Nothobranchius furzeri: one gene and its partner. The protein of the gene in region 1 binds, or shares a complex with, the protein of each later gene. Links are inferred from orthologs where the notes say so. Each region holds a gene or a part of one and is shown on either strand. Other genes may lie near its edges. The genes, in order: naa50 and naa15b.

Evidence for each region.
Region 2: the proteins of naa50 (region 1) and naa15b are in contact, whole or in part, in a cryo-EM structure (PDB 6PPL), measured with the Homo sapiens proteins. The link is inferred for Nothobranchius furzeri from reciprocal best matches to the Homo sapiens genes NAA50 and NAA15. Residues at the interface, in NP_079422.1 of Homo sapiens: Arg5, His14, Asn15, Lys17, Gln18, Arg21, Leu22, Val25, Phe51, Asn52, Ile54, Ala55, Leu80, Pro82, Tyr83, Leu86; in NP_476516.1 of Homo sapiens: Pro369, Pro370, Thr371, Leu374, Ser403, Thr404, Pro405, Thr406, Leu407, Ile408, Phe411, Glu433, Ala436, Leu437, Asp438, Thr439, Ala440.

Annotation. Positions count from the first base shown.
Region 1 is NC_091747.1:50,849,099-50,853,558, forward strand, and holds the start of naa50 (N-alpha-acetyltransferase 50), read left to right. Parts: upstream 1-1,377; 5' UTR 1,378-1,538; coding exon 1,539-1,546; intron 1,547-3,036; coding exon 3,037-3,173; intron 3,174-3,384; coding exon 3,385-3,504; intron 3,505-3,582; coding exon 3,583-3,649; intron 3,650-4,460. UniProt on the Homo sapiens protein: N-alpha-acetyltransferase that acetylates the N-terminus of proteins that retain their initiating methionine. Has a broad substrate specificity: able to acetylate the initiator methionine of most peptides, except for those with a proline in second position.
Region 2 is NC_091746.1:82,172,300-82,176,115, reverse strand, and holds part of naa15b (N-alpha-acetyltransferase 15, NatA auxiliary subunit b), read right to left. Parts: intron 2,856-3,816; coding exon 2,760-2,855; intron 2,682-2,759; coding exon 2,575-2,681; intron 2,488-2,574; coding exon 2,415-2,487; intron 2,332-2,414; coding exon 2,162-2,331; intron 2,082-2,161; coding exon 1,929-2,081; intron 1,667-1,928; coding exon 1,538-1,666; intron 1,457-1,537; coding exon 1,243-1,456; intron 1,135-1,242; coding exon 941-1,134; intron 870-940; coding exon 761-869; intron 679-760; coding exon 580-678; intron 489-579; coding exon 345-488; intron 1-344. UniProt on the Homo sapiens protein: Auxillary subunit of N-terminal acetyltransferase complexes which display alpha (N-terminal) acetyltransferase (NAT) activity. The NAT activity may be important for vascular, hematopoietic and neuronal growth and development.

The DNA of each region.
Region 1 (4,460 bases):
ATAGGAATTTGCGTCTATAATGCTGCTGGTCGATTTTCAGGAACATCTGACAGGTTTAATCGACGTTTTTGAAAAACCTAGCTTTATTGACAAAGGACAAGCCATAGACATCGTAGTTTATCCCAGCCCGTTACCTTAAAAACACTGTTAGCTAACTAACTGTGTAGGCAAATACATCATGAAAATGATAGCAAGACTGCTGTCGGCCTTGTCTTAAAAAACTGCTGCCTCTGCCGATTTACCGCAAAATAAACCAAAACGGTTCTATTTTAACCTCGGTGTAAACAAAAGAAGAGGTAGAAATTAACATTTTTTACCGTCAAGTCGTGTAGTGTCCGTTTTGCGTTCTGCCTCGAGAGAGAAGCGGCTGATACTGCGGTGCGTGACAGCGGCCTGAGGTCAGCTGACTTCATTCACTCTACCGCCTCGAATTTTTTTACTGCAGGGCCCTCGCAACAGACGCCATTTTGGATCCGCCCCGGAACTACAGCAAAGATCTTCTATTGTACGAAGATTATCCACTACTTTGACTAAACAGTATAAAACTTTTTTTATACTGTTTGGTTTATTAATTAAAACGTTACCACTTATAAAATGTCTATAATTCTAAAAAAGTTTTAAAAAAATTTATTTATACTTTATTCTGTCTTCATGACGTGATCTTTTTTTAACTTTTCGGTTATATCTTAAGCTCCCCAATCAAAATAGTTCAATTTTCATCATAATTTACAGTAGTTGCTAAAAAAATCTACACTTTGATAAAAGAAAAAGAGAACTACTGTAATCCGGATAAAAAGTAAAGAGCTGTATGTCAAGCTAACGTACCATTTAATATACAGGGTGGTTTAATTTTTTATCCAAAATGATCAATTCATAGAGTTCACGTTTCCTATTTAACACAGATTATGTCACTTTAGACTTACTGGGATTTCATCTCTCTCTCTCTCTCTCTCTCTCTCTCTCTCTCTCTCTCTCTCTCTCTCTCTCTCTCTCTCACACACACACACACACACACACACACACACACACACACACACACACACACACACACACACACACACACACACGCAAATACAGGCGCGCCCAAATTCTTATGACGAGGTTTTATATTATTTTATTATTGCGACTTTCAGGTGTATACAATTGCGTTTTCAATGGACATAAATTGTTTTGTAAGTATCTACAATTAAAAACTATACCAGATGGTTCTGACATTATTTTAGACATCCATAAATAACATTGTGTTTCAAAAATCTCCCTTATTTACTTTGAAGAGACTTTGAAATATCATACAATTATATTTTAATGGTTCTTTCATCAACAACAATTATATTTTACAACTGCCTTCCACATGCAACATTTGTGCGCATGCGTCCGTCAGGGTTGACACAGTCGTGGTAGAAGTGTGGAGGCTAAGCTACATGTGGAGGGTAAAACGGGAGGTATCCCCGACCCTAACTCTGTCAAAATTCCCATCTTTTACCAGAAACATCGCTAAAGTTAAACCCAACCGTAAATAAGGATATTATCTTTTTAAAATGAAAGGGTGAGTTTAAGCTTTTTGTGTCACGAATATGTAGCTTAGCTTGAGTAAAGTTTTTCAGGTCAAGGGAGGCGGGCTGGACACGACGAGGTTAGCTAGCGCGCTAAGCTGATTTTATTTAGCGTTCAGTCAGAAACACGAACGACAGCTCAGTCATTGGAGCAGCTTTGTTGAGACAGGTCTGACCTAAAGCTGCTTTTAGTTTCGTTCAGATCGAAAACTAAGCTAGGCCAACCAGTTAGGTGCCTGTGAGAGCTGAGTCAGTAAACCCCGTTAAGCTAAGCTAAGCACAGACACAAATCTATGGAGATTTTTGTTTGTTGTGAACTTCTGCTGCACAAAACATTTTAACTAAATCAGAGAAGTAGCTGCAGATTCGATTTATGTCAAGTTAGAAAGTTCCAAGTGCTTCACTCTGAACCTCAGAGTCTGTGCTAACTTCCTTTAGTGTAACTTGATCTGTCAAGAGTACCAAGATGTGATTTACAACATAACTTTAATGTCTGTTGTCTTATTCTAAATCCCCATGAGCATTATTGAAGCCGGGCTTTGTTTAATCACCGTGATGGGATTTCATTCTTCATTCTCCATCACGCGACTTTCAGCTTTCTGGAAATACAAGTGGTCCTATAAATACTACACTGACTGAACTCCTTTGCTAGACCAAGAGAATGGATGTTTGCTTATAACAAACCTGATTGAGTCACATGACTTGATCCTAACTGGCGTAACATTATTTTACTTGGTAAAGAGCTAAATCGTTATTTTTAAGTCTAGTCTTTGCCACCACCTTTTTCCTCCAGTCTTGTCTGTTTTTGCAACAAATTATGCAAAGGTAATACTAATATATGGGGGGAAATTACCCTGAAACACAGGAGTATGTTAATGTTAAGGTTAATTCTCAAGCATGAAAATTTACCTGCGGATTTAAACATAAAAGTGATGCTTCTAAAACATTTCACTTCAGAATTTTCAGTTATCTTTTATGCAAGAGATGCACTGATTTTAGGTTTGAAAGCTGAAAATGATTTCTGACTTGTGCAGCTTTGAATTGCTGATGCAGGTTTTGGAAGAACTATAATTTAAAAAATACTTTATACATACATTTTTTTAATATGAAAATTATGATTCTGGAAGCAAACTAAACGTGCACACGAAGTAATTGTTATTCCAAGGGTGAGTTTATGTCTAGCTGTGGTGCATTCACAGACCTGGGGAAAAAGTATGATTTTATTCTGCTGCTTCAAATACCAAAAAATACAGTTTTTGAGTTTAAATAGTTAAATATTGATTCATTCTGATCACCAGCTGGTTTTTGAAGTGCATCTCAAAGTCTGAATACTTCTGCAGTGACACGTAACAAAATATTTCAAGCATTTTAGTGTTTTTGGAAGATACTACGACACCAAATGATCCCTCTTCAATCTAAAAGGCACCTTGGCTTCATTTGTGCACCTGTCGTCAGCCAATTGACCGTTTTGCTCTTGTTCCAGTAGCCGGATCGAGCTGGGGGACGTTACGCCTCACAACATAAAGCAACTGAAACGCCTGAACCAAGTCATCTTCCCTGTCAGCTACAACGACAAATTTTACAAAGATGTACTGGAAGTGGGGGAGCTCGCAAAGCTAGGTGAGAAAAAATGATTCAAGTTGCATTCAGATCATTTGTGACTGATTACCTTTAAAAACACACACATCAGATGAGGTTGATTCTGGTTGTTATAGCAATAAATCAGTCATGTACATGAAAAGTCCTTTTTACTGAAAAATCCAATTAAATTAACTTTTAAATGTCTGCGTTCATCTGTTTGGAAATCATCAGTTTCCTTTTGTCTCTCCAGCGTACTTTAATGACATTGCAGTCGGAGCCGTGTGCTGCAGAGTGGACCACTCTCAGAACCAGAAGAGGCTGTACATCATGACACTTGGTTGTCTAGCACCCTATCGTAGACTTGGAATCGGTACGGCGTTCTGTTCCTCAAACTTTGAGAATCGTGTTTGGTTTTTATTTCTAAAGTTGTCCTTCTGTTTTCCTTTAGGTACAAAAATGCTTAATCATGTGCTGACCATCTGTGAGAAGGATGGCACTTTTGACAACATTTACCTGTAAGTGCCTTTGAGCAGGACATGTTTTAACTCAAATAAGACCATATTTTTAACAGGGGTGCACTGATTACTCAGTAGCTGGTTTATTAGCTTCCTGAATGTCACACAACTGTTATACAAACGTGTGTTTCTGCTCCAATCTATAAATATTCATGTAAACATTTACACCACCATAGATTTAGCATTACACGGTTACTTACATGTAAACATCACCAGCATCAGAAATAGATTTTCCACTTCATCCAGCAGGTCTTTTATATATATTTCTACAGAAATAACCAGGCTTTACTAAAAGGATGGTGATGTGATTGTTTATAAAATACTTCAGCTCATGAGACGTTGGAGAAACTTTGGACATAAGAGCGGTTTTAACACAACACACTGAATATTCAGTTCTGAAAGGTGGCAGTTTCACTTTTCTTGACTTTTAAGCAGAAATCTGGAGGTTTTTTTCTTGGAGGGTGCCATCTAGAGGTGGAAAAATATATCGCACCCTAAAGTGGTGGTGTGTATTATCTCTAGCAATAGGGGGCAGTACATACCTAAATCATTGCAAGTAAGTTGTATTTTTGTTTGAGTAAGACCTTAACAACGGATGGCCATTAGGGTCAAAATCCCAGGGAGCGCAATTTTCAAACAAGTACTCCATCAGATCGTTCATCCTCCAGCAAAACCAAAAGCACATCAGATTTTCTTTCATCACTGGCAATGAGTAAAGAGGTTAATGTATAAAACCGCAATGTTTATGAATGGCAAAAGTTTTGTAACCGCTTGTCACAATTCAGAAAATGAATTTTGACCTTGTGGGTTC
Region 2 (3,816 bases), on another chromosome or scaffold:
GGCCAAATTAATATCATTTCTACCGTATACCGTTTATACCGCCCACCCCTAGAGGATGGCTGCTTATACTGAGCCAGGATCCTCTGGAGGTTTCTTGCTGTTAAAAGGAAGTTTTCCTCTCCACTGTCGCTAAATGCTTGCTCAGTATGAGGATTGCTGTAAAGACTCTGACACTAGTCAGTGACTTGATGCAATTTGCTGGGTTCCTTATATAGGAAATTTTTTTCTGACTGGCTTAAAGAACTGACCTGGATTGGAATGTTTATTATGTGAAGTGCCTTGAGATGACTTGTCGTGATTTGGCGCTTTATAAATAAAACTGAATTGAATCTAAAGATGCTCACCAGCCAGTCGGTGTGGGATGGAGCTGGAGTGCTTGGTGAGGTAGGCCTGGTTGAAGCTCTTAGCATTGCTGTCTCCAAACAGCCGAGTGATCTCTTGCTTCAGCACCGTCCTGACAACCTCTGGCAGGTCCTTGCTCTCCGAGACTAGACGTTCGAGGAGTGAAAAGACAGACGGGATGTGAATAAGAAGAAGAGGGGACAAGGGGCATGGTGAGGTCACAAAAGCCCCTCTCACCTCCTTTGAAGAAGCGCACTAGACACTGGTGCAGCCACGGGTGGTCCGGGTCGATGGCCAGAGCCCGCTTCACTGATTGTAGCATCAACAGGTACTTTTCTAAAAGGAAAACACACCAGGGATGTGTGAAGGAGAGAACAAAGAAACGGGAGAAAACCGGGTGAAATATTCCAAAGCTGACCTTTCCTGAAGTAGATCTCAAAGGCCAGTAGATGTGTGTCTATTTTGTCTTTGATCAGCTGTTTGAGAGGCATCAGGAACTTCACGGCTTCTTCCAGTGGATTTTCTACCTGTTAAAGTCAAAGACGAGTCAGACGTCTGATCAGGCTGATCCGCTCGCCTCCTGCTCCCCGTTTCTAACCTTGACCAGTTTCTCAGGAATGAGCTCTTCTTTGGGCCCTCCGATTTCCTCGTCGTCATCCTCTTTCTTCTTCTTCATGTTCTTTTGCTGCTTCTCCTTCTCGGCGTTCTTCTTCTCCTCCTCCAGCTGGGCCTTCTTCTGGGCTCTTCGCTGTTTGTTCCTCCACTTCTTCAGTTCTTTGTCTGAAAGGTTTGCTGAAGACAAGAAAGAGGCGGAGCTAAAAACGGATGGAACAAACTGAACGTCTCTAATTTGGAGATCCAATAATGAGGAAACAGCCGTGTCATCAGTGAGCTTCTCACCGGTGTCCGCCTGCAGCTCTTTGCTGTCGTCGGTCAGAGGGTTTTCATGGAGACTCAGGTAGATCTGGATGGCCGAGATGGCGGCCTTGTAGTAGAAGGGATGCATCCGGAGAACGTCCTCCAGCTTCAGGAGGTCTACGTAGGAGCGGAGCGTCATCTTCCTCATGCAGTAGGTGTGGAAGTCAAACTGGTCATCTGTAATCTCCACAAAATGCTGATTCATACAAAAAAATGAAAATAATTAAATTCACACAGGTCATCCTGAGCTCTGCCTGCAACAGTGAGAACAACTCACCCTTTCGATCTCGTGGCACTTCTTCAGAGCTTCTCCGAACTTGTTCATAGCTTTGTAGGCAAGGGCACATTCCGTCTGGAACCACATGCACTGCATCTCGTTCAGGTTCTCCACAGCCGACGCTCCCTCCTGGAAAACACAAAAGCACATTGGAGCAGAGCTAATGCTGCTGCAGCGACACTCAGCTTTTATTTACTGCAGCTTCCTGACTCAGGATGAATGGAACAGGCGGTTCATCACTTTTAGACGAACGCATGAAAAAACCCAAAGCTTCTGCCTACATCTAAGCAGTAAAATAAGTCAGAGCTTTGGTTGATGTTTACATATTTTTGCCAAAGCTCCAGATTGAACCAGTTTATGCCAGAAGACACGGGTGCGACCGTTTTCTCACCCGTGTGAACTTGGAGCACATTTCTTCGGCCTCTTTGATCATGCCTGCTTTCAGCATGTACTTGGCACACTTGGAGTTGATGAATCTGTCGGCGGTGTCGAGCGCCTGGGCCTCGTCCATCCACTGGGCCGCCTCTCTGATGTTTCCAGCATGCTGCGGGACACAACAGGTCAACGCAAACTCCTCCGATACACCGCACAAGCGTGACAGCATGCGGGGTGGTGACACGTTACCTTGTAAATCTTGGCTTTGATGAGGAAGAGCTCGATGAGCGTCGGCGTGCTCTCGATGGCCGTGTTGATGTATTCTAGCGCCAGCGTCTGCTGGTCGATCACGTCGTAGTGCTGAGCCAGGAAGTACTGAACCCAGAGTAAGGTGGTGGGAGGCTCCTCCTTACCGTCGTCTGCAACCAGGACAGAAAACTCCTTCAGTACTGAAGTTGCTACTAAACGTTTGGTTGTTGCAGCGACTCTGAAACCTTCTCACCGTTCTGGCTGAACATCCGACAGCCTTTTAACGACGTCTCGTATCCGACCACCAATTCTTCTATTATTCCCACCTGAGGAAAGAAAAGTATTAAACTCACTGAAGGTCCAAATGTTTTAATCTGAGACCTTCTCTTCAGCGCTGAAAGCATCTCGCTCACCTTTTCTTTGTCGTTGTACAGTGACTTGAGCGTGGTGAAGACGGGCGGGCAGCCTTTACTGAAGTTCATCCTCAGATACCTGTCCAGGCACTCCCTGAATTTCTCCCCTGAACAAAAGCAAACACATTCTTAACAAACATAATCCACACAGGGGAAGAACACGCGACTGGTGTTATTGAAGTCACCAGAGAGGAAGTTGAGGGGGAGCCTGCGAGGAACCAGGCCTTTGGGAAACTTCTCCCAGGTTTCCTCGTAGATCTTTAGTTTCTCCTCGACGCTGCCTGGGAACAGAAAACAAAACTCGGGTAGAGTCTAACCCAGCCTTTCCACTGGATGTGTAAGCGGTGTGTAACGTAACAGGACGCGTTTGACCCGCGTCTCCCTTCCAAACGGGAGCGTTTCAGACGCGAAACGGGGGCAAAAGCGTTTTACACAGCTGGTTCCACGAGGTCACACATCCACAGGAGAATTGAAACACCGCACGTTATTTTGGAAGTTCCAACGATAAAAACAAAGAATTAATGCAGCGTGTCTCCAAAAGGTCTGGTTTATCTTCTGTTCTGTTTACCTCAGCCGCGGAGGTCTCACAGGAAACTACACTAGTTACTTTTTACTAGTTTAAGGGACTTTACAGACTTTTGAATTTTTATGCTCGCGATTGCCCCCTCTGGCCAAAAGCATAACAGCAGCTTCAATAGTAGGCTCGTGCACGAGGCGCGCATGCTGTACGTGCACACTCCTTAACAAAAACAACAGCTGAGACAGTTGTGTGTGTGTGTGTGTGTGTGTGCACGCGTGCGTGGTGTGTGTGTGTGTGTGTCCCGGAGGACAGGAGAACGCGCAGCTAATTAATTAAATAATTTGGTTCTGTACCTTTCTCTTCAGCACAGCGACAAAGGTTTATGATGGGTCAGTCCTCCTGCATGCTCAGATCATTCCCTTCCCTTGCTTGAAAAATTGTTCCAAAATGAAAGTTGAACCAACATCTTTTTTATCCGTGAATTCAATGCCGTTCGGCGAGTCTCAAATAAAAATTTGGGCGTCTTACTGTAAAAAAATATACCATTAATGTAAAAAAGAATCTCTAAATAAACTATGATCACACCCAGATTCAAACCCAGGTCTTCTACATGGGAGTCAGACATCTTACAAGGTGAGCTACACACCAATAACATTAGTATCTGTAACGTTTATATCCTTGATGACAGCTGAAACAACGTCAAACCAAAGAACGGGTCGGAG